4 linked regions of the Arabidopsis thaliana genome follow. The protein of the gene in region 1 interacts with the protein of each later gene in a pairwise test. Each region holds a gene or a part of one and is shown in the gene's direction. Other genes may lie near its edges.

Region 1 (5,902 bases):
ATTTTGAACTTTTTGAAAACCTCTCAATCTATTGATAAGACAACTTTTTTATGAAAAAATCAAGTTTGAGAACTAGGTTTTGTGTTTATTGATCTAGTTTACTTAGTCATATTCACTAAGTCGTCAATATGGTATGCTTTCAACAATAACATAGTAATTTGAATGCCTCGTACATTTTAGGCGATTTTCTATTACAATGTTTTGGTAGAGAATACGTATTTGTATATTTATGATGTATACGTGCATATACATTAATTGTTTTGTCGGTTTATTATGATCAAACAATAGTTTGTCTGTCAGAAGATTCAAGAAATATCTTTGAATCTGAGAGTTTCCAAAAAACGTTATGATGAAAATTTGGCATATACGTATTTCTGACAAGCTGATAATATTGTCATCTTGCATTTCAAGCAGTTTCGACAAAATTTTATCCAACTGTTATATTCAAACTAATTGAAAATCGAAAAACCACCATTAAAAATTAGTTAAAAATAACATATCATTTTGAAAATGCAATATTTAAAAATTTAACATATCAATTTAACATGCTTGTTTTCTTAATAAGTTTTGATATATTATAAAATGAACCGCGTGATTACAATTTTTCTTTTTGTGATGGAACTGTCGTTAGTTAAACACTTAAACTTAAACTTTCATGTAAGTTTTGTTTATTCATATTTGACTCAATTGAAACCCAATAATCAAGAATGTCAAATATTATATGTTTTGTCGGATTTGTAACGTGATTCTCGCTCATTTAATAATGTGATAATATCATAAAATTTAATCTATGTAGTTGTTTAATATGATATTAAACTTTATTAATGTAATAAGATCGATAATACTAAGTTACTAACCCAAATCATACACTTACGAGTTACGACACTACCGCACTATCTTGGTTATATTAAATACTCCTTTTGTTTCTAATAGTTTGATGTTTATATCAACATTATTATTTACTTTCATTTGTTACCGATAGAAAGAGGAGAAAATTGTTGACAAAAACAAAGAAAAAAGTAAAATTAATATTATTAAATTAATAAAAATAACAAACTGTAAAAGCTATTTTTAAAAATTTTTCTTGTAAAACATCTAAAAATTATTCTTGTAGAAACAGAGGAATATCATTGAAGATAATAGTGTGAAATTATATATATATATAGAAATATATAAAGTAGGATTTTTTTCTGTATACAAATATACGTTTCCAATTTTATCAAAAACTGTAAAGATTTTTTTCTTTGTCAGTACCTGCTAAACTTGTTAATTTTTTTATTAAAAAAAAATCAAATTACAATTCTTCTATAATCATTTTAAATTCCATTTCTTTATACCACAAAAGATTATATTGCCTTTATCGTCTTTGGTATGTATGCGTGAATATATTTATTTATTTTCTTTTCTTTCATTTTCTTTTTAAAGAACTTTATAAATGAAATAAGGAACAAACAATATACACATGTACTAACGTATATAAATAATATCATCAATATCTATCCAAAACTTGGATTTCATGGTTGACGTGGCCCAACCAAAATCTCAAGTTCTCTGCGGATGACGAACCATCTCACCATCTCTTTTTTTCTCTCTCTTTTTTTTTTTTAATATCATCAGCACGGTTACATAAAATTCGTGATCCATGAAGTTGGCTTTCTTGTCGTTTTACTTCATCACCCCATTTTTTTAAAGTCTCCATCTTTATACTTCTTCAACTCTCCACCACCACCATTGTCACCACCACATTTAAACACACACTTTCACTTGTAGTGGGATTCGAAAGTGCGTTTTATTCATTTGTTTTACTGTTTTTGATAACCTCAAAATTTGCCTAAATTTTATTCTCTATAAATCCTTATATGTTTTACTTACATTCCTAAAGTTTTCAACTTTCTTGAGCTTCAAAAAGTACCTCCAATGGCTTCTTCTGCATTTGCTTTTCCTTCTTACATAATAACCAAAGGAGGACTTTCAACTGATTCTTGTAAATCAACTTCTTTGTCTTCTTCTAGATCTTTGGTTACAGATCTTCCATCACCATGTCTGAAACCCAACAACAATTCCCATGTAAGTTCACTTCTCTCTTCTCTGCTTCATCATGGAACTTGATTTAAGAACTATGAGATTTTGTAGCTTGCCCATTTGCTGAAATCTTGAATTAAATAATGGGTTTACTTTGTTTTTGACAAAAGTCAAACAAATTTGACTCCTTTTCTTAGTTACTTTATTGGAAATCTGTGGAAAATATAGTGAAATTAGACCAATAATATTGCTTCTTTGGTTCTGATTTCTGGGAACTGATTAGAGAAAATGACAGCTTTTGCGATTTGGGTTTTGTGTTGTGGTACAGTCAAACAGAAGAGCAAAAGTGTGTGCTTCACTTGCAGAGAAGGGTGAATATTATTCAAACAGACCACCAACTCCATTACTTGACACTATTAACTACCCAATCCACATGAAAAATCTTTCTGTCAAGGTAAAGATTCTAGCTTTGATGCATTTGTTTTAGCTTTCTTACAAATTGATGGATTGGTGGCATTTGGTAACAACTTATTGCAGGAACTGAAACAACTTTCTGATGAGCTGAGATCAGACGTGATCTTTAATGTGTCGAAAACCGGTGGACATTTGGGGTCAAGTCTTGGTGTTGTGGAGCTTACTGTGGCTCTTCATTACATTTTCAATACTCCACAAGACAAGATTCTTTGGGATGTTGGTCATCAGTCTTATCCTCATAAGATTCTTACTGGGAGAAGAGGAAAGATGCCTACAATGAGGCAAACCAATGGTCTCTCTGGTTTCACCAAACGAGGAGAGAGTGAACATGATTGCTTTGGTACTGGACACAGCTCAACCACAATATCTGCTGGTTTAGGTAATACAATCAATCATTCCTTTGGTGTGTTTGCCTTGTGTTGTTGTGTTTAGACAGTAAACTGTAATAAGAAAACAGAACTGAATCAGATATATGAGTTTTACAGGAATGGCGGTAGGAAGGGATTTGAAGGGGAAGAACAACAATGTGGTTGCTGTGATTGGTGATGGTGCGATGACGGCAGGACAGGCTTATGAAGCCATGAACAACGCCGGATATCTAGACTCTGATATGATTGTGATTCTTAATGACAACAAGCAAGTCTCATTACCTACAGCTACTTTGGATGGACCAAGTCCACCTGTTGGTGCATTGAGCAGTGCTCTTAGTCGGTTACAGTCTAACCCGGCTCTCAGAGAGTTGAGAGAAGTCGCAAAGGCAAGTTTATTGCATTTCTTTTCTAGAATGGTAAAGAATACTGGTCTTTATGGACTTGATGAGAATTTTGGCTTTTCTTGCGTATAGGGTATGACAAAGCAAATAGGCGGACCAATGCATCAGTTGGCGGCTAAGGTAGATGAGTATGCTCGAGGAATGATAAGCGGGACTGGATCGTCACTGTTTGAAGAACTCGGTCTTTACTATATTGGTCCAGTTGATGGGCACAACATAGATGATTTGGTAGCCATTCTTAAAGAAGTTAAGAGTACCAGAACCACAGGACCTGTACTTATTCATGTGGTGACGGAGAAAGGTCGTGGTTATCCTTACGCGGAGAGAGCTGATGACAAATACCATGGTAAAACAAGTTAGATAGATAACGTTTTCTCTAGTTCCTAAGCAGTGGGATATATATATTGATTATTTTTCTTTCAGGTGTTGTGAAATTTGATCCAGCAACGGGTAGACAGTTCAAAACTACTAATAAGACTCAATCTTACACAACTTACTTTGCGGAGGCATTAGTCGCAGAAGCAGAGGTAGACAAAGATGTGGTTGCGATTCATGCAGCCATGGGAGGTGGAACCGGGTTAAATCTCTTTCAACGTCGCTTCCCAACAAGATGTTTCGATGTAGGAATAGCGGAACAACACGCAGTTACTTTTGCTGCGGGTTTAGCCTGTGAAGGCCTTAAACCCTTCTGTGCAATCTATTCGTCTTTCATGCAGCGTGCTTATGACCAGGCAAGTTCAACATCTTAATCATTTTACTTTGTAATAAAACATTTTAAGAAACTAATAGAGTATATGGTGGCCTTCTCTGTAGGTTGTCCATGATGTTGATTTGCAAAAATTACCGGTGAGATTTGCAATGGATAGAGCTGGACTCGTTGGAGCTGATGGTCCGACACATTGTGGAGCTTTCGATGTGACATTTATGGCTTGTCTTCCTAACATGATAGTGATGGCTCCATCAGATGAAGCAGATCTCTTTAACATGGTTGCAACTGCTGTTGCGATTGATGATCGTCCTTCTTGTTTCCGTTACCCTAGAGGTAACGGTATTGGAGTTGCATTACCTCCCGGAAACAAAGGTGTTCCAATTGAGGTATAACTTTGGTCCTCTCAAATATGTCTCTCTTCCTTCATCATTTTGAGATAGAAAATCTCTTTGGGTGTATTTCAGATTGGGAAAGGTAGAATTTTAAAGGAAGGAGAGAGAGTTGCGTTGTTGGGTTATGGCTCAGCAGTTCAGAGCTGTTTAGGAGCGGCTGTAATGCTCGAAGAACGCGGATTAAACGTAACTGTAGCGGATGCACGGTTTTGCAAGCCATTGGACCGTGCTCTCATTCGCAGCTTAGCTAAGTCGCACGAGGTTCTGATCACGGTTGAAGAAGGTTCCATTGGAGGTTTTGGCTCGCACGTTGTTCAGTTTCTTGCTCTCGATGGTCTTCTTGATGGCAAACTCAAGGTTACTTATTACTTCCAGAAACTCTCTAATATTTTTCTGTCTTTTCAAAAAATACTGTTTCTAATTTGCAACTGTTTGAATATACAGTGGAGACCAATGGTACTGCCTGATCGATACATTGATCACGGTGCACCAGCTGATCAACTAGCTGAAGCTGGACTCATGCCATCTCACATCGCAGCAACCGCACTTAACTTAATCGGTGCACCAAGGGAAGCTCTGTTTTGAGAGTAAGAATCTGTTGGCTAAAACATATGTATACAAACACTCTAAATGCAACCCAAGGTTTCTTCTAAGTACTGATCAGAATTCCCGCCGAGAAGTCCTTTGGCAACAGCTATATATATTTACTAAGATTGTGAAGAGAAAGGCAAAGGCAAAGGTTGTGCAAAGATTAGTATTATGATAAAACTGGTATTTGTTTTGTAATTTTGTTTAGGATTGTGATGGAGATCGTGTTGTACAATAATCTAACATCTTGTAAAAATCAATTACATCTCTTTGTGTATCTTTCATAGCTTTGTGTGACATATTTTGGTACGAGCAGTGTTTTTAAACCTGGACCTATATATATGGCCTCATTGACTGACGATCGAACGTACCAATGCAGTGACCCGAACCACTTTCCGGTTTACATTCCAATCCGGTTTTACAAGATTGGATACAAGTATTTTTTTTTTCAAAATATCCCCAAAGAGCCTAAAGGCATTGAAAGACTCTATCTACAGAAGAGAGTTCTCTTGTTAAGAAAATATTAGACAATAATAGAGTATCTTCATTATGTTCTTATAATCTTATCTAATAATTACTCTCACTAAATAAGATGATTATGATTATAGTTTGCTTTCATAAAGATGAATGTATTCAGTTTTACTTATTAAGTATACTTTACTTGGGAATTTATCTATACCTAATAAATATAAAATAGTGTAATCATAATTAAATTGAATAAAAAAATGAAAAGAAAAGATATAGTATCTTAATTATGTTTATATCTAATATACTTCCTCTTTCACTAAAAAGATGATTTTAGGATTTATTTTTTTTGGTTCATAAAGATGAATGTAATCAATTTTATATATAAATTTATCTTCACCAATTAAATATACTATAATGTAAATCTTAAATAAATTGATCAATTTAATCTATAGATTAAAGTTAGAATGGATGAGAAAA
Region 2 (7,553 bases), on another chromosome or scaffold:
CCACATATATACACTGAAACTATATGTTATAGACAGATACATCAATATCCCTTTTTGTAAAATTAGATTTATGTGCCCAGTATAGGCACTGGGTGATGGATGATACATCTTGTTTCATTTGTAAAAGAAATCAAATTCAATCTATTTATTTGTTATATTAATTTTTTTCATCAAATACTGTTTCAAATTTTATGATACAGCGGAGATAAATCAGACATGAGACTATGTCAAAATTGCAGGAGAATTATTCTAAAGATAAAACCGTTTAGTGGATTTGGTTACCAAAATGTTGATATGGCCGAGTTGGTCTAAGGCGCCAGATTAAGGTTCTGGTCCGAAAGGGCGTGGGTTCAAATCCCACTGTCAACATAATTATTATTATTATTTTTTTTTTTAAATTTATATATAGGCTTCAAATCAAACAGTGACACTTTTTTGGTACAAATCAAATAGTGACTTATATATTAGAGAAATTGTTGGAAAAAAACAAATGTGATATCCATTGCTTTTGCGGAAACGTTGACAAATTATTGGCGAAATGGTGACTTATATATTTGAGCAACATACACACTCGTTTTTATCTTATTTTTATCCAAAAAGGGGAAAGTAGATGAATTATGTGGATTTTATTAGTGAATATGTGATGCATTTCATTAGTGAATTTGTTTGTTTCGAACACCTAACAATCAATTATGTTTGAGAGGATATTTTCAGGGCGGTCCTGAGGAGAGCAACATGAAACATTTGTATGTGACCTCATAGTTTTTTTCAAAAAATTACATTAAAATTTATTTGTAAATAGGCCCCCAAAAATATTTAATTTGAAAAAAACCTTAAATTGCAAAACAGTTTATACTCCCTCCCTCTGTTCCATCAAGATTGATGTTATAGGTTTTTTTTCTTGTTCCAAAAAGTTTGATGTTTTAGATCAATATTATTAGTATTTTTATTTGTGACCAATATAGAGAAGAGAAAGGCAGTGTCTGATATTATTAAACAAACAAAAGAATAATAAAAAAATAAAAAGTTATTTTTCTTAATTTGTGTGAAAACCCACAACATCAAACTTCATGAAATAGAGGGAGTATTAATTTCAAAATATATAATTTATGGTTTAGACCCCAGATTGTCATGACCGACCGTTGATACTTTGCATAGCTTAGAACTTTCATCTCTGCGTGTAGTAGAGAATGACTAGTTTGGTAACCTAATTTACTTATAGATCTTTAAACATATAGATCATTTGACCCAATTTACTGCCACGCGTTTTAAATGTACTAACTACTAAGTATGAATAAAATGATCAATTTGAGTCACAAAAAGTATGTTTATTGTGATCAATTGTGAAATGCCAACTCTTTTACAGGTATTACTAGGTTGATGGGAAATATTTTGCTAGGGTCCCCGACCAAACCGCACTAACAAAAACATGAAATTTAATTAGAAAAAAAAAAGTTGCAATATTTGGAGGACGATAGTTCCGTTGTCAAATGATGAACAACGAAGAAACCGTACATTGATGAGATAAGTTTTATGTGAAACACATCTTGCCACCTATATTTATGTAACTATGTGAACCATAATAATCATAAGCTCTTTACAATATATTTTCTTAGTTTTGTTTGTAAAGCAAATTTATGGAAGAAAAAAAAAATTGTCGTCCACATATTTCCAATCTCTTCCACTTTGATTCTCTTCCATTCAATCTTTCTTCGAGGTTTAAAGCATTTTCTATGATACAAAAGTATAAGAGATGTGTATCCAGTTGCAAAACTTATACTATGAATTGACTATACTATTTTGATAATTTCTATAACCATAACGGCTGCATGAACTATATACTTAAAACTATGACTACGATAGTCGCAATAAATGTATCGTACTATCCTTCGAACTCTTATACGATTTAAAACCTTAGCATATCAAACATTTAAATTTCTAGATAGTGATATCAAAATCCTACAGCCGCAATTTTTCCAGAAAAAGGTGATAATTTTTTTTTTTTATCAGCATATTGCTTCGATGCAAAATACGTGGAATCTATGCAAACAAATTTGTTTCTTCTGTATAGTTGCTTATTGAGTTGAGTGGTTGTCAGTCACCAACCCTCTTCAGATCTCAAAGCCACAATAAAATACGTTAAATTAATAATTACCAACCTCAAAACTATAATCTATATATATATATATATATAATCAGCATTTTCTTCAGTGTCTCTCTACTCTCTCTCAGATTTGCATTTGTTTTTTTTTGGTTTGGTTATGGAGCGTGCAAGGAGACTTGCTTACAGAGGGATCGTGAAACGTCTCGTCAACGAGACAAAACGCCACCGTAACGGCGAATCCTCTCTTCTTCCGACGACGACTGTTACTCCCTCAAGGTATGTCTCCTCCGTCTCCTCCTTTCTCCATCGCCGTCGTGATGTCTCTGGATCGGCTTTTACCACCTCCGGTAGAAATCAACACCAGACACGATCGATCTCCGTCGATGCGTTGAAGCCAAGCGACACTTTCCCGCGCCGGCACAACTCAGCAACACCGGATGAACAAGCTCAGATGGCGAATTACTGCGGATTCGATAATCTCAACACGTTGATTGATTCGACTGTTCCGAAATCGATTCGGTTAGATTCGATGAAGTTTTCCGGGATATTTGATGAAGGATTAACGGAGAGTCAAATGATTGAGCATATGAGTGATTTAGCTTCGAAGAACAAAGTTTTCAAATCGTTCATTGGTATGGGATACTATAACACTCATGTTCCTCCTGTGATTTTGCGTAATATAATGGAGAATCCTGCTTGGTATACTCAATATACTCCTTATCAAGCTGAGATTTCTCAAGGAAGACTCGAATCTCTGCTCAATTACCAGACGGTTATTACTGATCTCACCGGTCTACCGATGTCGAACGCTTCGTTGCTCGATGAAGGTACGGCGGCGGCGGAAGCAATGGCGATGTGTAATAATATTCTAAAGGGGAAGAAGAAGACGTTTGTTATTGCTAGTAATTGTCATCCTCAGACTATTGATGTTTGCAAGACGAGAGCGGATGGTTTCGATTTGAAAGTTGTGACGGTTGATATTAAGGATGTGGATTATAGCTCTGGTGATGTGTGTGGAGTGTTGGTTCAGTATCCGGGGACTGAAGGGGAGGTGTTGGATTATGGTGAGTTTGTTAAGAATGCTCATGCTAATGGTGTTAAGGTTGTTATGGCTACGGATTTGTTGGCTTTGACGATGTTGAAACCGCCGGGTGAGTTTGGGGCGGATATTGTTGTTGGGTCGGGTCAGAGGTTTGGTGTTCCGATGGGTTATGGTGGTCCTCATGCTGCTTTCTTGGCTACTTCACAAGAGTATAAGAGAATGATGCCTGGGAGGATTATTGGTGTTAGTGTTGATTCTTCCGGGAAGCAAGCTTTGCGTATGGCTATGCAGACTAGGGAACAGCATATCCGCAGGGATAAAGCTACCAGCAACATCTGTACCGCTCAGGTAAAAATGGCTTCAAACTCTATAGGATTTATGTAGTGTATACCGCTTTGACTATTACTGATAAGTGATAACAAAAGCGGGAAGAATTAGAGGTACCGAGAGAGCAGTACCATATTTTACATCTTCAAACTATTTTGCTATTGATTATCGTTTTCTACATTGTAGGCCTTGCTTGCAAATATGACTGCTATGTATGCTGTTTACCATGGACCAGAAGGCTTAAAATCTATTGCACAACGGGTTCATGGTCTCGCTGGTGTATTTGCCTTAGGATTGAAGAAACTGGGAACTGCACAAGTCCAAGATCTTCCCTTCTTTGACACTGTCAAAGTTACATGTTCAGATGCAACTGCAATTTTTGATGTGGCAGCCAAGAAGGAGATCAATTTGCGTCTTGTGGACTCCAACACTGTGAGTTTCTTCATATATATATATATATATATATATATATATATATTTCTTCAATATCTGGATATGATTATTAACATTGATGGGTTTTTTTTCTTGTTCTTTAAGATTACTGTTGCTTTCGATGAAACAACCACCTTGGATGATGTCGATAAACTTTTTGAAGTTTTTGCTTCGGGCAAGCCCGTGAGTTTACTTTAAGCTAATATCCATTCATCTCGCTTGTTCACTCTTTTTTTTCGTGTTTGCTTAAAATAATGTTTTCTCCAATGTACAAGGTTCAATTCACGGCTGAGTCTCTTGCACCGGAGTTTAACAATGCTATTCCCTCTAGCCTAACAAGAGAGAGCCCTTATCTGACCCATCCAATCTTCAACATGTATGTTACCTTCTTTAAATCTTGGTTCCTTCATTGCCCTGTGGCTTATTGTTAAGTACCTCACATTTACTTTCCCTTTTTTCTTACATTTGGTTAGGTACCACACGGAGCATGAGTTGCTTAGGTACATCCACAAGTTACAAAATAAAGATCTATCATTGTGCCACAGCATGATTCCACTTGGATCTTGTACGATGAAATTGAATGCCACCACTGAAATGATGCCAGTCACATGGCCAAGTTTCACCAACATGCACCCTTTTGCTCCTGTTGAACAAGCCCAAGGTTATCAGGTGAGGCCACATATTTGATTTACCTGACTAGAAATTTAACTACGTACTGAATTTTTTGTTTGACAACTTATAGGAAATGTTTACGAATTTGGGTGAGCTCTTATGTACGATCACTGGATTCGACTCTTTCTCATTGCAACCTAATGCCGGTGCTGCTGGCGAGTACGCCGGGCTCATGGTTATCCGTGCATATCATATGGTAAGCATACCTGTAGTTTCTTGTTTTCCAATATGAACTCGCACTTCAACAAATTTGGTAAATGGGTGAATAAATGATGCAGTCAAGAGGCGATCATCACAGAAATGTGTGCATCATACCTGTTTCTGCACACGGGACAAACCCTGCTAGTGCTGCCATGTGCGGAATGAAAATTGTTGCCGTTGGAACTGATGCCAAAGGAAACATTAACATCGAAGAGTTGAGGAACGCCGCCGAAGCCAACAAGGACAACTTGGCTGCTCTTATGGTATGTATTTACTTCTTTCATCACTATAGATGAAACAATGTCACTTTTGGGTCAATCCACTTTCTAATTCTACAACTTCTGTTTGAATATTAGGTTACATACCCTTCCACCCATGGAGTCTACGAAGAGGGTATCGACGAGATCTGCAACATAATTCATGAAAATGGAGGCCAAGTTTATATGGATGGTGCTAATATGAATGCACAGGTATGGTTTCTCTGCTGGTATGTTGACTGAAGAATCCAAAAGTTGTGAATTTGAGAAAGTTTTTGGAACTTCCAGGTGGGTTTGACAAGCCCTGGTTTTATTGGAGCGGATGTTTGCCATCTCAATCTCCACAAGACCTTCTGTATCCCTCACGGAGGTGGAGGTCCCGGAATGGGCCCTATCGGTGTGAAGCAACATTTGGCTCCATTCCTACCTTCTCACCCAGTGGTTAGTGTTAATTCTTATATGTTATGATCGCTAATCCATCTTTCTCAATGATTGAGTTATCTGCTTTTTTGTACTCATTCTGTTTACTCTGCTACAGATACCTACCGGTGGTATCCCTGAACCCGAGCAGACATCACCGCTGGGAACCATTTCTGCAGCACCATGGGGGTCTGCGCTTATCTTGCCAATCTCGTATACTTACATTGCCATGATGGGATCTGGAGGACTCACCGATGCCTCAAAGATTGCAATTTTGAACGCTAACTACATGGCAAAGCGTCTGGAGGTACCTTATCTTATCTTGACAACTCTTTAAAGAGAGTGAACGTCTCTTCTCTTGTGCAACCTCACTTATGCTTTCTTGTCTTTCAGAGCCACTACCCAGTTCTTTTCCGTGGTGTCAATGGAACAGTCGCTCACGAATTCATCATTGACTTGAGAGGATTCAAGGTATGTTTCTTTATCTCGTTTGAGTAAATGCTCTGTTTTTTGGTTGTACATGCTAAATCAATGTCTTGTTCAATGTCCTCAGAACACTGCTGGAATTGAACCAGAGGATGTGGCCAAACGATTGATGGATTATGGTTTCCATGGACCGACAATGTCTTGGCCTGTCCCTGGAACGCTTATGATCGAGCCAACCGAAAGCGAAAGCAAGGTAATTATGTCTTGCATTGCATTGCAAATCTCTCACTGACTCAGCTCTCAGTCTCTAAAACATGGCTTCATAATTTGTATATATATATGTAATATTTCAGGCTGAGTTAGATAGGTTCTGTGATGCTCTCATCTCGATCAGGGAAGAGATTTCACAGATTGAGAAAGGAAACGCAGATCCAAACAACAACGTTCTGAAGGTAAGAAAAAATTTGAGACCACAATTTCAGTTCGGACTAGCCCTCTAGTCTGATACTAATGAACTTTAAAAAACAAACACACACAGGGTGCTCCACATCCTCCGTCATTGCTAATGGCAGATACATGGAAAAAGCCGTATTCACGGGAATACGCAGCCTTCCCCGCTCCATGGCTCCGCTCCTCCAAGTTCTGGCCCACTACAGGTACTTGAAAACTAGGGGTGGCATTTCCCATAGAAAACAATTTGTTATTTGTAAATCGTTTCAAAATGTATTAAATATGTGTGAAACAGGGCGAGTGGACAACGTGTATGGAGACCGTAATCTGGTGTGCACTCTCCAACCGGCGAACGAAGAACAGGCTGCAGCTGCAGTGTCTGCTTAAATGAAGCCACTATGAAGCGATTCGCACTCGCACCAAAACCCACAATGGGGCGATTCGGACTCATACCGGATCCAGAAACGTATCTTTACTGGCTTTTACTTCTCTTCCCAGCCTCATCATCACTTTCACTTTCACTTCCTGTACAATGTACATACGTAGTCCTAAGTTCTTCCCTCATTTATTTAATAAAATACATTTCTTTATGTTCCACTTTCTTATACGTATAACATTCCATTTGGATGATGTGATCACCATCGTGGTTATATTTATGCCATATGATCTCTTTGAAAAAAGTTTGAATTCTTAGGATATTTATTGTTTCATTTTATAATTAGGAAATTTGGCAAAATAACCATAATTCTAGGTTTTATAAACAAACTGACTGACAACATATAGGTTCTGAATGGTTGCATGTAGAGTAAAAAGTGGAAGTGAAGGAGACAAAAAAATTTAGTGAAAGAAACAACCAAATATTAAAGGAAAGGAATCTAAATTTTGAAGTAGTTATTTTTTCTCTCTCCTTTGGGTAGAGTTAGATTTTTTTTTATAAAAAAAAGCTTAATACCAACTTGAACTTCCTTTCCAAAGAAAACTAGGAACTTGGTAGAGTTAAAATTTAATTTCACTTTTCTACATTTTGGCCAAAAAAAAACAAAAAGCAGTTCTAACCAATGCTAATCTTTTCTATTTTAGAGACACACATTGGAACAAAATCAACTCTAAAATAGTGAAAAAAAATAAAGGTAGGACATGGGAGATGCTCTTATGTTTCTGCTAATTTTTTCAATTGCCACTAATCAGACTTGTAGCATTATTCTACTAAATATCAGATTGG
Region 3 (7,555 bases), on another chromosome or scaffold:
GAATGTTTTTTAGTGGATTGCAAGAGAACTTGTAGTGTTACAAAGGCTTATTAATCAGGCCAATGAAAAGGGATGGCGAAGAGAATATCCTTTAATAAAGCATTATCAATATTAATATATTGTTTTACTTTGAAGAGTAACTAGTGAATATGAGAGACTCTTTCTGTTATATTTTTCTTGACTTCTTAGCTAATACACTATCCCAGTATCTGGAGAAGAGGGAGCTTCTTCAGAATCCGGATGAACAGAAGAGGCTAGTGGATGAAGTTCCAGAAATTGTTGCAGAAGAACTTGAACCTGAATGTGAAGATGATGATGATGATAGGACAATAGAAGATAGCCTCATTGTACCAAACCCTGAGGCTCATCAAAGTGACAAAGAGCAACGACAAAGAGATTTACCAGTTTCTTCTAGTGTCAAGAAAAGTCAAGAAAATTCCTTGCTTCTTAAGAATCCGGAAGAGCAGTTGAGGCTGCTGTGTGATGTTCCCGATGTTGTTGCAGAAAAACTTGAACCTGAGTTTGTAGATGATGATGGAAAACTAGTAAATGACGTACCGTACCAAACCCTGAAGCCTTCACTGAGGCGCATCAAAGTGATGAAGAAATACAACCAAGTGATTTACCAGATTCTAGTATCCAGAAAACTCTAGAAGACCAGCCAATATGGACTGCTTCTGCAGGTGCGTCCCATTCTTTGTAACTTCAATTCATCGATAGGACTTAAATTGGTTGGATTAATGAATCCTATTCGTCCTTGCCTTTGTCAAAGTGATGTTAGATGAATGTGTCCTTCATAGTTAACTAAGTGGTGTCCAAGAAGCGAGATATTGTGAACTTGATCTGGACCCATATATTTGTTTGTGTAAATTCCAGGTAATAAAGATCTCCATGAAGATGTGTACGAGCCGCCAGCAAATGGCATAACACTGAACACGGACTCTATCACTGAAGGAGAAATGAATACCAAAGTCAGTCAGCATCAGTCAAGTACTCCAGTGATTGATCTCTCTAACAAAACTCAAGCACACTCAAATCCAATTGAGATTATTGAATTGAGCGATGATGATGACGACGACGAAAAGGACAAAAACGATCAAGCTTACCAGAGTTATGATCCAAAGAAGGTGATGTGGTTCTATGAATACCCTAAAGGAAAAACACATGGACCATTCTCTCTCACAGATCTCAAAACGTGGAGTGACGAAGAGTACTTTGTTGGAGTTCCAGATTTCAAAGTATGGAAGACAGGAGAGAGTGCAGTGCTACTAACCAAACTTCTATCTCAGATCAAAACCTAATTGAAGAACTTGCAAAAAGCTTAGCATTAAGTCTGAAAAGTGTGCATTTTGTTTATTTCTCTAAAACGGTTGTTGCTGAATTTAGTGCACATAATGCAAAGATTCTGACTTTTGTTGTAAAAAAGTCTCCTCTTAAAATCCATGGAACATAATTATTAACATGAAGATTCCTTAAAATTATTTGAAAATCCTAATTCTTTTGCATAAATAATAAGTGCAGTATTTATTTAAATTGAAGAAAGTGAAACATGTATAAAACCCAGAAGTCAGCACAACACTTACCAGTCCAGAATTAAAAAAACTGATTGAGACAGAGAGAAGAAAGATTGCTTGAAGAAGACGAAGACAAAAGGAGGAAACTTTCTTCTCATTTCAATTAAAAAATCCATTTTTTTCTCTGGGTTTTTCTTTCTCATGTGATTGTGTAATTGATTCTTATCGTTTTCTCGCAATCATTACGGCTTCTTCTGAAATCAACACGCTCAATTTCCTTCCTTGGAAAATTTTGGGGTTTTGGTTTTGTTCCTGTTTCATTCGTGTGAGATTTGATTACTTAAGCGCTCAGATGAAATCATGATAATTAAGAAGCACAAGAGAGAGGAAATTAGAGTCCTTTGGTCAATTTATTGGGGAACTTGATTGGGATTTAGTCAGCTTCAAAGTGAGGAGCTGAAGATGGAGAATGGCCATGAGGAAAGATTGGCGGAGAGATTTTCCGGATTGGGTTTCGAAGATTCTTCTCTTTTGCCTGAGAACGAGTTTAAGAACGACAACTTGTTTCAGGTCATCAAAGCTGTTGAAGCAGCAGAAACCACCATCAAGGAGCAGGTCTGGTTCTCCGTCTGTGTCTCTATTTGAAATTGTTTCGATTCGTGGGGAAGTACTTCCTCTATCAATCCATTTCCAGGAGTTCTGTCTAAATTTCTGTATTGACATGTCTGCTTTATTAGAGAAGTAGTTGTGAAATGCAAGGTTTTATTAAGTCTGGTTGATGCATAGGGGATAATTAAGTATCTGGAGTGTAGGATCTGTCTCTTGTTTGTTAGCATTTGCCAATGCAAGATGGTTTTTGTTTGTCATCGAAGTATTTTAGGCATCTAAGAATGTGTTTTTATCCTCTAAGCAGGTGGAAGAGAATAGCCGATTAAAAGCTGAACTTCAGCGAAGTGCTCTGGAATTGGCTAAATATGTAAGTAATTGTCTAGTTAAAGGATAAGAGAGGATCTCTGGTTACTTTTGCGCAGTCTTTATCAGATATCAGTATTTTGCAATTAGTGAGAATCCTTTTCTTTTGTTATGGTGATACTTCCATGGTATAAGTTTAGTAGCTCGTAGATCATATTTGGTAAATTTTTGATTGGTAGTCTTGCTCTTGTTATCTTGCCTAGAAATCAGATGAATCCTTGCCCCAAACTTCTAATATCGGAGATCACACAAATTCTACCACTGTGTCCCGCCTGGTTCACCAGCCAGTTGACTGGAAGCCAGTTGTGATCAAAGCTTCAGATGCTGATTCATCAGGCTTGCTGGTTGTTCACCCCCATGTGAATGCTAATGGTGAAGAAGCTACTGTGAGTAATCGTTTTGAAAGCCATTCTGAAGAAACTATAAGTAATGGCACTGTTAAAAGAGCTATAGATGGTACTGGTCCCTCTCAATTCGATTCGTCAATATCTCCTATGAGGTACTGAAACAGAAACTACCACTCTTGCGTGTGCTGAGTCTATTTGTAAATCTTATGGCTTAGATGAATTTCCATGAACGAAATGCCTATAATTTTCAAGATCTGATATCTGCTAGAATGCGATTGGAGGGAGAGCATGACGCACACTTCAGTTCGTCTACTCATGGATCTATGCCAGTTGGTGAAGTAAATCATTCAGGCAATGCATGGAAGCAGGTCTCTATCATACTTACTCTACGTCTTGGTTTTATTGGTGTAAATGAAAAACTGTTTACCGGACTATGTACCTATTCAGGACCTCATTCACAAGGTCCAGGAGCAGGAACAAGAAATTTCGCAGTTGAGAAGATATCTTACTGACTGTTCTGTTAAGGTGAGTCTTGTTCGACATGGGAGATTTCTAGTCACTATTGGGGTTTTGTGTTACTAACTTTTGTGGTTCCTTGGGATTTGTTTGTGATTGAGTCAGGTTTCTTTGGTTGCATATGGGTTTTCTCTTCTTTTTTGTCCTTTAGAAGTGAGCAGAACAAGAAATGAAAATCATCTATGGTTTGGATCAATAAAAGGTTGTCATAAACAGAGTATAATATTCATGGGAAAAGATAGATTTTCTGCTACTTAGAAGGACCTGCAAATATCTTACTCCGTTTCATCGGAGAAACAGCAAACTCTCTATTGATCCAAACCAAAGATAATCTCTTCAATGGTTTTTATGTTCACTTCGAAAGGGCACAAAACAAGAGCAAAACCCTAAACAATCAGCTCAACCACAAATAAAGCCCATGCGACCATAAGCGTAAATGACATAATAAACTATGTAGTCATTAATGCTTTCTGTTGGTTCATCCCTTGCATTCTTTGTTAATTTTATGCTAAATCAGATGACTAACATTTTAGTTATCTTATAGGAAGCCCAAATTCGCAATGAAAAATATGTTCTGGAAAAGAGAATTGCCTACATGCGTCTGGTAGGCCTTTCCTTTTTTTTACTTATCTGTTTTATTCATCTCGTATTAAATGTATTTAATTTAATTGTTTGGAAGCTGAAAGATTGTTGCTGTTGTAACCAGGCATTTGATCAACAGCAACAAGATCTTGTTGATGCTTCATCAAAAGCTCTCTCTTACAGACAAGAGATAATTGAAGAAAATATACGCCTAACATATGCCTTACAGGTACTATCATTTTGTGTGTGTGGGAATACAGCACTAGTTGTCTGTCTTCTGGCATATGCTTTAATTCCTCATTTCCTTTTTCTTTGGTAACCCTATTTAGCTGGACACCTTGAATTATTTCAGTTTCCACTTCAGTTTTCAAACTAGGATTTGTCTCTGGCCCCTCACTTTCATCATGTTTTTGGATAACTTTATACTGCAACTGGTATATATATATCTACGTAAAATCTGGTTAATTTTTAAATCGAAGCCAATATGCCTGTTTTCGTTTTTTTTTCCAGGCTACACAGCAAGAAAGATCTACATTTGTATCATACTTGTTACCTCTTTTATCAGAGTATTCTCTGCAACCACAGGTTTCTGATGCTCAGTCTATTGTCAGCAATGTGAAGGTAAGATCCAAAATCTGAAGTGCTGTCTCTCGCTATCTTTTATTTTTTTTGTTATAACTTGTGTTGGAATCTTACGTTTCTTGTTTTATTATTCTGTTGTAAGTTCGGACCATCTCTAGCTCCTATCTTTGACTTTACTGTATACTGTAGCCTATTAATTTGAGAGGTTTTGTTGCACTGCATCCTATTCGATGATTAACGGAGCTTGGTTGACATAGTTTTTTGAGCTTCATGGATATGGAAGCATAAGCATTTGTTGTCTTATCTGTGAAATTTATGTGGAGTCATGGAGAACCACAGAACATAGAAATTTGGATAGGAAATTAAACGACTGATTATATATTATACTCTGCTTCACTATATATGAAAGTGAAGTTTTTCTTGCAGTTTTTATGTTAAACTAGCGATTGGCGTTTACAGCTACTGTTTTTTATTTATTTAGGTTTTGTTTAAGCATCTACAAGAAAAGCTCCTTCTTACTGAGGTATGTTATCCGGGTATGGGCTTATCTGGTGTTAAATCTCAGTGTCTGCTTCATTTTTGACTTCTGTTTTTTTCTTAGCGTTGAATTGGCTTTATTTCTTACAGACATATGATAGATGATTGTTTCTGATCTTTTTCTTGTACTAGACAAAGTTGAAGGAGTCGGAATATCAGTTAGCACCATGGCAGTCAGATGTGAACCACTCAAATGATTCCCCTTTGGCTCCATCGCGCTCAGCTGGTGTGGCATTAACCCACTCCGTATGTGCATATTCCTCAGTGTTATATCATAAGCTTGAGTGAATAGAATCTTAAATTACTTCTTGTGTTTACACCAGACAAAAGATTCCATGTATTCTCATGATCACACAGCCATAGACTGGAATTTGGAGCGCCAGCAGCAAGATGAGCCAGGTAGCTCAGCTGTGAGGAATTACCATCTTGATGATTCTAGTACGTTTTCACCTCTTGAAAACAGGTGAGTTTGTCCCTGCAAAGATTGATATTCCAAACTGTATGAAAACTATGTGCACACACTCAATATTTATGAAATCCACACATGTAGTTGCTAGAGCATTGTATATTTCTATCCCAATAGATATAATAGGGTGGGGATCCTTCACTTGGAAATCATCCAAGGAACTACAAGCGAAGCATTTTAGCTTCTTTCTCTTTCTTAGGGTTGGTCTTAACTTAGCTACCGCAGGGAATGAAGGAGTTAAATCCACATGTTCATGTTAGGTAGGAACAAGTCCGTGACTTCTTGGCCCTTTGTTTGTTGTTGACTCTTGACTCTGACTGCTTTCTCTTGACTTGTAAAACACGCTGAAAAGTATTTGATTTAATTTGGCAATGAATCTTGACGCTTGAGTCTTTCCTGTTGACTCTGAAAATTCGTAGTTCTAAGCCAATAGTTAGTATCCCTCTTCTGCACTCTTAGTGTTCATCGACTTTTTCCTATTCTTACATTTTCTAACTTCCTGTCCCCTCTGGGAAATATGATGATTTCAATTCTCAAATGTATCAGATTAGTCATAGGCCAAATAAGGTGCTGTTCTTCTTTATGTTTTTATGTCTTGATCTGTCATGAGGTGTCAGATCATCTGACTTCATCATGTCACGATTATGATCAATTTCGTAGTGCTCACCTGGTTGTATGCACTGTAGTTATTGGTGGATAACTGTCTGCAATGTTTGATGATTAAATGCATTCGTGTGTACCAGTCAGTCGGCAGCCTTTGAGATGCATGTGCAACCAGGTACCAGCGTGGACGAATCTCCTGCTCATAAGAAAGTAGACGAAACTCCACCTAAGCATGTCCAGTTTCTTGAGCCTATCAGCAAGACGGTGGTCGACGATGCTCAAAATCCATCATATGGGTCTGCGTTTGATGACCCAAGCTCCTCAAATTCTCCTCTTTTGTCCCCAGTTTTTGAAGAACCTTCTTCCTCCTTTTCTGAGGGTAATGATTAACAATACTAATTCCATTATGGTCTTTCACTTGTCTCAATATTTTGAACCACTGTTGACAGGTGGAGATGATGACCCGTTACCAGGTATAGAGGACCTCCAAATTTCAGGAGAACCTTATCCTGGACATGAACTTCAGGCTTGTGGTTACTCCATTAATGGAACAACAAGTTGTAATTTTGAGGTGCGTACTAAATAAAAAACAGAATCGCTTCCTTACTTATGTTGAATTGCATCTAATCTATCTTCTTCTGTTCTTCAATTTTCAGTGGGTCTGTCACCTAGAAGATGGATCTGTGAATTACATTGATGGTACATTCCCCTCCTGCTGAATTTTGTTTCTTATTTCTTTATATGGAAATAAGAATCTAGTCGTGAACGAACTTCTAATGCAGGAGCAAAGCAGCCAAATTACCTTGTCACTGCTGATGATGTTGATTTATATCTTGCTATTGAGGTTCAGCCTTTGGATGACAGGAACCGAAAGGTTAATATTTTTTTGTATGAATGAGATTATATGTTGAGTGGTTCTTTTCTGTGGAATACTGGAATCTTGATATGGATTTTAGTTTCCATTATTTACCTCAGCATTTTGTTTCGTCGGCTAGATTTCATGCTAAAATGTTGTAGGGGAAAAGATTCGCCTTTGGAAAGTACAGATACGATTTAACAGTTTTGTTAGATGTGCATACACTGTTGTTTTCTGCTGATTGTTTTTCAGTTTTTTTTTTCATGTGGTTTGCAATATTCATTTGCTACTTTCTGATTTCAGGGGGAGCTTGTGAAGGTTTTTGCCAATGATAACCGCAAGATTGCTTGCCGTAAGTTAATCTGTTTACTTAGAGAATCACCCTCTTGCCACTTGTCTGTTTACGTCTTCATATTAAGATGTTACGTCTTTTATGCTCCCTGAGCTGTTTCTGGTTGGTTGTGTTAGAGAATGTTTCCCTTAAATCTGAAGCATTCGTTGAGAACTTGATAATATTTATTCTGAGACCTAAATGTAACAGTAATCCTCTTTTTACTTTGACAGATCCAGATATGCAGAG
Region 4 (4,613 bases), on another chromosome or scaffold:
CAATAGAAGCATAAGCATCACCACTTGAAGATATTGACACTGAATCCACTTCATGATGCAAGGTAAAAGACTCTGTAGGTACACTAATCTTAATACATTGATCTCCTCTTTTACCTTGAGAATTACTGTTCTCCACTTCTTCTCGACACTCTTCATCATTTTCATCATGCTTAAATAACTTTATCTCACTAACACTATCAGACCTTAATGAAGCAATCCCAAAGCCTATATCACCACCCGGAGAAGGTTTGAGCTCATTTCTACTGTTTGAACGGCTTTTTGACGCTTTTGCACTACTACGAAGCTCCAAAGCTTTTTGACGTGACCTTGATCTCTGCATCTTAGCAAGTGATAATCCAGGGTCAATGCAAGTGTCTGGTTCAATTTCCTCTTGACAATAACCAAGAGATGAAGATTTCCGCTTACAACCAGTAGTTGAGACACATTTGGGAACCTTTTCCCCTTGGCTACATCCAGGAGATGTAGCATCAAGATTAGTTTCAACTCTCTGATTCTTGGAGTGTTCGGGAGATGAACAACTTTGATTCTCTCTGCAATCGATTGAGACACTTTCTGGCAATCTCTCTTTCTCATGTACATCTCTAGGAGATGCAATATTAACATCCTGCTCATGAGAATGATTCGAAACTTGTCTGACTAAGTTGTGTGAGAGGTTGTGTTGCGGTTCCTCTTCAAGCAACTGCTCTTCTAGCGGGTTATTTACCACAGAGGTCAGGTCTTGTCTTACTACATTGTCAGCTAGAAACCTGACAGGCCGTTGGTATGAAAAGGGACGACTGCTAGGACAAACGATGGAAGGTCTTGATGAAGGAAATAGAAGTTCTGATATAATCTCCTCCTTATTTAACTCTGTATACATATAAACAAACATCACAATAAGAATCGCAAACAGAAACTCTTCTATTCAATCGTAACTGAAACAGATATACACGCAATGTACGTTAATACTAGCCTTAACAAAATGCTCCTTAACTTATCACAGAAAAATCAACATCAAAGTGTGATTATGAACCCTAACACCATTTCTAATCTTTCAATTCCATCTTCTCACAGTAATTCGACATCAAATTTATGGTAATACGCTTTATAAACTTTCAATCCATTTCCCGTTTAAGTATCAAACAACTTCGCAGCATCATTACTCAATAGCCACTAAGACTACTAATCAATTTTGCTCTAATTAGCCAAACAAATCTACATTTACCATCACGGACAAGAAATTGAGCACTAAAAATCAGATTTAACAACTACCGGAAGTTTGGGAAGGTAGAGACGGAGACCAGAGCCACGACGGAGGAGATACTCCGGCGAGTAGGCATTTGGAAGCTAAATGCTGGTCATAGAGATCTACTTGTTGCTGAACCTGCTCGACGATTCGCCTCTTCCTCTCAAAGATCTGAACGAAAAGATTCTCAATCTTCACATTCGCCGTCTTCCCCCTCGGATTCTCCTTGACGGAAAACATCGCCGACGACCTACTCTAGAGATAGAGCGAGAGAGAGAGAGAGACTGTTAGCGCGGATTTGAATTTCAAAATTTTGGGGATAAAGATTTCATTTTCGCTTTCGTTTTTCACTGAAAAAAATAGAATGAAGCTTTTTTAGCTTTTTTAACCCTCGCTACCTGAACGATGCGTTTAGTTTTAAACGGCTTCGTATTGTGTCTAATATCTATCTTCTCGTTAGCTGTAAAACGTTTCGTTTTAACAAACCTTTTTCATACGATGTCGTTTCTCTCTATCTTTTAATACTTTCGCCGTCGTCGTCTTATTTTCGCTGTCCCTGATCATTCGCCGGAGCTACCATTAAGAGACTGAGATTCAATCATCAGAGTTCAATGGATGTCCCGTTACCAGTCGAGAAATTATCTTATGGATCAAACACTGAGTAAATTTTGAAGCTTATTCTCGATTTTGATTCCCTTCATTTGTCTTTTTTGTGAAAATTCTGATTTTGTAAATTTGATCTGCTTGGTTACTTATGATGATGAGATTCTCACCAGGTTTATTATTAAAATTCCGTCCGGGTGTTGAATATTTTCGATTGTTTGTCTGAAACAGGGACAAAACTTGTGTAGTGCTTGTGGCAACTGGGAGTTTCAATCCTCCTACTTTCATGCATTTACGCATGTTTGGTCAGTTCTTTTACCAGAGTAGATATATAATTCATTTTTTTATATGTTTATCAATGGCGTTTCAGATTCTATCAATCCGAAAGTTTTCACAATTTGAGGCATAATGATCAGTGTTTTGACTCGTTTCAATGGGAAAATCCAATACTGGTTTATAGTCAAAAGTAGCTTAAGATTATATGCCTTGTTGTTTACTTCTTGAGTGAAACCGTTTCTTGAGTATATGATTGTGTTAGCTTTGTATATTTTGGTTTATAAAACCGGCATATGACAAGAATGAACTGCAGAACTTAGAGGTTTCAATTGTTGATTCTTGTCCATTGCTGTGACCTTTTGTTCAAATGTATATGTTTCTTTACATCAAACTGATAAGTTCTCTTCCTTTTTTTTGTCGCTAGAGCTGGCGAGAGATGAATTACGCTCAAAAGGATTTCATGTTCTTGGAGGATATATGTCTCCTGTTAATGATGCATATAAGAAGAAGGTATTTGTCATCTTGAGAATCTTAGTTTCTTTCCATAATGACTCTTTTTTTTCTGAACCTATGCTAATGGACATGTTATGTGTGATGAAACTAAGAGCTTCTTTTTCTTTTTTAGCTCCCAAAGTTCTTCTGTTTACTATTCTGTTTAGTTTCCCTTAGAACTAATAATTTCATCAGATTATGTGTAGGGCCTTTTATCTGCAGAACATCGTTTAGAGATGTGTAATGTATCATGTCAAAGCTCTGACTTTGTAATGGTTGATCCGTGGGAGGTACTTTCTTATTCCTCGAAAAGCTTTTAATCAGTTCTCTTTAGTGGAACAATGCGTTGTTTACAAAAATGTGGAAGCTGTTTCTACAGGCATCTCAAAGCAACTACCAACGAACTTTGACGGTTTTATCAAGGGTCAAGACTTTCTTAACAACAAATCGACATGTACCCGAGGGTAAGATAACTGCAAGAAGTGTCCTGTGTCGCCTTTAGCATCTTTCTATTCAAAGTTTATCTCACTTACATTTTGGGAGTAATTGCTGGGTCGTCTGAATAGTGTTGCTTGCTATGTTTTTATCATACGTGCTAGCCACTACGCAAATGACAAACACAAATTTATTCTAATGCTAGAATCTCTCAAAGTCATGCTACTATGTGGCTCGGATTTACTGCTATCTTTCTGCACTCCCGGTGTTTGGATCCCTGAACAGGTAAACCAAGGTAGCATTGTTATATAAACGTAGATGTGTTTATCAAATTTACTCACAGTTATGCTCCTTTTTCAACACTTGGTTTTTGAAGTTAAGAACTATTTGCAAAGATTATGGCATTGTGTGCATCCGTAGAGAAGGACAAGATGTTGAAAATATGATCTCTGGTGACGAAATCTTAAACGAAAACTGTGTAAGTATTACCAGGTTTCTGTTCTGACTCTGCTGTATCAGTCCGTGATTGTGCACATGGTTTACTGAATAGTGCCCCCTCGATTTCTTTCGCAGGCTAACGTCAAAATCGTTGACAATACTGTTCCTAATCAAATCAGTTCGAGTAGATTAAGGTAGTGTGAGATTTATTTATCCTTCCCGAGAACAGTTCATATACACTAAAAAATGATTTCTCTTGCTCATTCCTCTGCTTCTTTCAGGCAATGCATTTCGCGAGGGTTATCGGTTAAATACTTGACTGAAGATGGAGTAATAGATTATATCAGACAACATCAACTATACACTGAGCTCACATGACAAACGCTGAGAGGATTATTATACTTCATCAGATCAAATATTACAACACAACTCATCAAATAATGGTGTGATAAACAGATCAGATATATTTGTTGAGTCTCTGTATTTTAAGGTTCTTATTTATCAACTCTTTGTATCATATTCATATGTACAACAAATGTGAAGAAAAAAAAACACAAAAGAGGCGAGAGAAATGTGAAACTGATGATGGATTACTTCTATATAATATATTTGAAAGTTTTCAAAATCAGCGTCAAAGTCTAACTTCTCTGTTTCGATAAGAATGAGCTGGGGACTAGTCATGAAATACCCATGACTTGTTTTTGAGGATTCAGGGGGATGGACATTGTTTATAGCTGGGTTTCAGACAAAGCTAGGGACATCTAGAAGTGAACTCTCTGCATTTTTTTTTACTTGTGTTCTGCATATTTGATTGTGGCTTAAAAATGCAAGAACATTAAAAAAAAAAAAAACATAATACGTAAGTTCAGAAAAAAAATTAACAAAAAAACCAAAGAGAAAAAAAGAAAATTACATCTTACATAAAATTTTAAAAAATAATAAACGAAATAGAAAATTACATCTCACAGAGCCGGAATATCAAAATAGGGGGAAAATGGGTAAGTCGTCAGTACCTCGCATTTTTGTTATACATTGCCTAATTGGAATTCGGACTACAACTGCGAGAACACAAGTATTTGTTCTCCGCTTTAAAATATATTGGGAATGGACAGCGGCAGTAGCA

Evidence for each region.
Region 2: the proteins of CLA1 (region 1) and GLDP2 interact in a two-hybrid assay, tested with the Arabidopsis thaliana proteins (one study listed by BioGRID).
Region 3: the proteins of CLA1 (region 1) and AT5G23490 interact in a two-hybrid assay, tested with the Arabidopsis thaliana proteins (one study listed by BioGRID).
Region 4: the proteins of CLA1 (region 1) and NMNAT interact in a two-hybrid assay, tested with the Arabidopsis thaliana proteins (one study listed by BioGRID).

Annotation. Positions count from the first base shown.
Region 1 is NC_003075.7:8,882,301-8,888,202, forward strand, and holds CLA1 (Deoxyxylulose-5-phosphate synthase), read left to right. Parts: upstream 1-1,524; 5' UTR 1,525-1,917; coding exon 1,918-2,067; intron 2,068-2,350; coding exon 2,351-2,476; intron 2,477-2,559; coding exon 2,560-2,875; intron 2,876-2,981; coding exon 2,982-3,253; intron 3,254-3,340; coding exon 3,341-3,614; intron 3,615-3,691; coding exon 3,692-3,999; intron 4,000-4,081; coding exon 4,082-4,363; intron 4,364-4,441; coding exon 4,442-4,726; intron 4,727-4,813; coding exon 4,814-4,954; 3' UTR 4,955-5,367; downstream 5,368-5,902.
Region 2 is NC_003071.7:11,108,495-11,116,047, reverse strand, and holds GLDP2 (glycine decarboxylase P-protein 2), read left to right. Parts: upstream 1-1,756; 5' UTR 1,757-2,261; coding exon 2,262-3,494; intron 3,495-3,659; coding exon 3,660-3,905; intron 3,906-4,010; coding exon 4,011-4,088; intron 4,089-4,180; coding exon 4,181-4,281; intron 4,282-4,378; coding exon 4,379-4,574; intron 4,575-4,647; coding exon 4,648-4,773; intron 4,774-4,855; coding exon 4,856-5,041; intron 5,042-5,134; coding exon 5,135-5,248; intron 5,249-5,323; coding exon 5,324-5,476; intron 5,477-5,573; coding exon 5,574-5,762; intron 5,763-5,848; coding exon 5,849-5,926; intron 5,927-6,008; coding exon 6,009-6,134; intron 6,135-6,234; coding exon 6,235-6,333; intron 6,334-6,419; coding exon 6,420-6,537; intron 6,538-6,626; coding exon 6,627-6,718; 3' UTR 6,719-7,045; downstream 7,046-7,553.
Region 3 is NC_003076.8:7,917,855-7,925,409, forward strand, and holds the start of AT5G23490 (uncharacterized protein), read left to right. Parts: upstream 1-1,522; 5' UTR 1,523-1,976; coding exon 1,977-2,129; intron 2,130-2,427; coding exon 2,428-2,490; intron 2,491-2,689; coding exon 2,690-2,985; intron 2,986-3,101; coding exon 3,102-3,201; intron 3,202-3,280; coding exon 3,281-3,358; intron 3,359-3,893; coding exon 3,894-3,953; intron 3,954-4,055; coding exon 4,056-4,160; intron 4,161-4,441; coding exon 4,442-4,552; intron 4,553-4,994; coding exon 4,995-5,036; intron 5,037-5,182; coding exon 5,183-5,296; intron 5,297-5,373; coding exon 5,374-5,513; intron 5,514-6,259; coding exon 6,260-6,498; intron 6,499-6,568; coding exon 6,569-6,690; intron 6,691-6,775; coding exon 6,776-6,818; intron 6,819-6,901; coding exon 6,902-6,993; intron 6,994-7,278; coding exon 7,279-7,327; intron 7,328-7,539; coding exon 7,540-7,555. Other genes in the region: AT5G23480 (SWIB/MDM2, Plus-3 and GYF domain-containing protein), read left to right, coding at 14-84, 197-653.
Region 4 is NC_003076.8:22,583,484-22,588,096, reverse strand, and holds NMNAT (nicotinate/nicotinamide mononucleotide adenyltransferase), read left to right. Parts: upstream 1-1,810; 5' UTR 1,811-1,857; coding exon 1,858-1,907; intron 1,908-2,080; coding exon 2,081-2,154; intron 2,155-2,549; coding exon 2,550-2,635; intron 2,636-2,812; coding exon 2,813-2,845; coding exon of another isoform or gene 2,846-2,907; intron 2,908-2,941; coding exon 2,942-3,081; intron 3,082-3,183; coding exon 3,184-3,337; coding exon of another isoform or gene 3,338-3,364; exon of another isoform or gene 3,365-3,428; coding exon 3,429-3,530; intron 3,531-3,625; coding exon 3,626-3,684; intron 3,685-3,771; coding exon 3,772-3,868; 3' UTR 3,869-4,112; downstream 4,113-4,613. Other genes in the region: WYR (inner centromere protein, ARK-binding region protein), read right to left, coding at 1-870, 1,273-1,501, 1,733-1,810. UniProt on the Arabidopsis thaliana protein: Catalyzes the formation of NAD(+) from nicotinamide mononucleotide (NMN) and ATP. Can also use the deamidated form; nicotinic acid mononucleotide (NaMN) as substrate.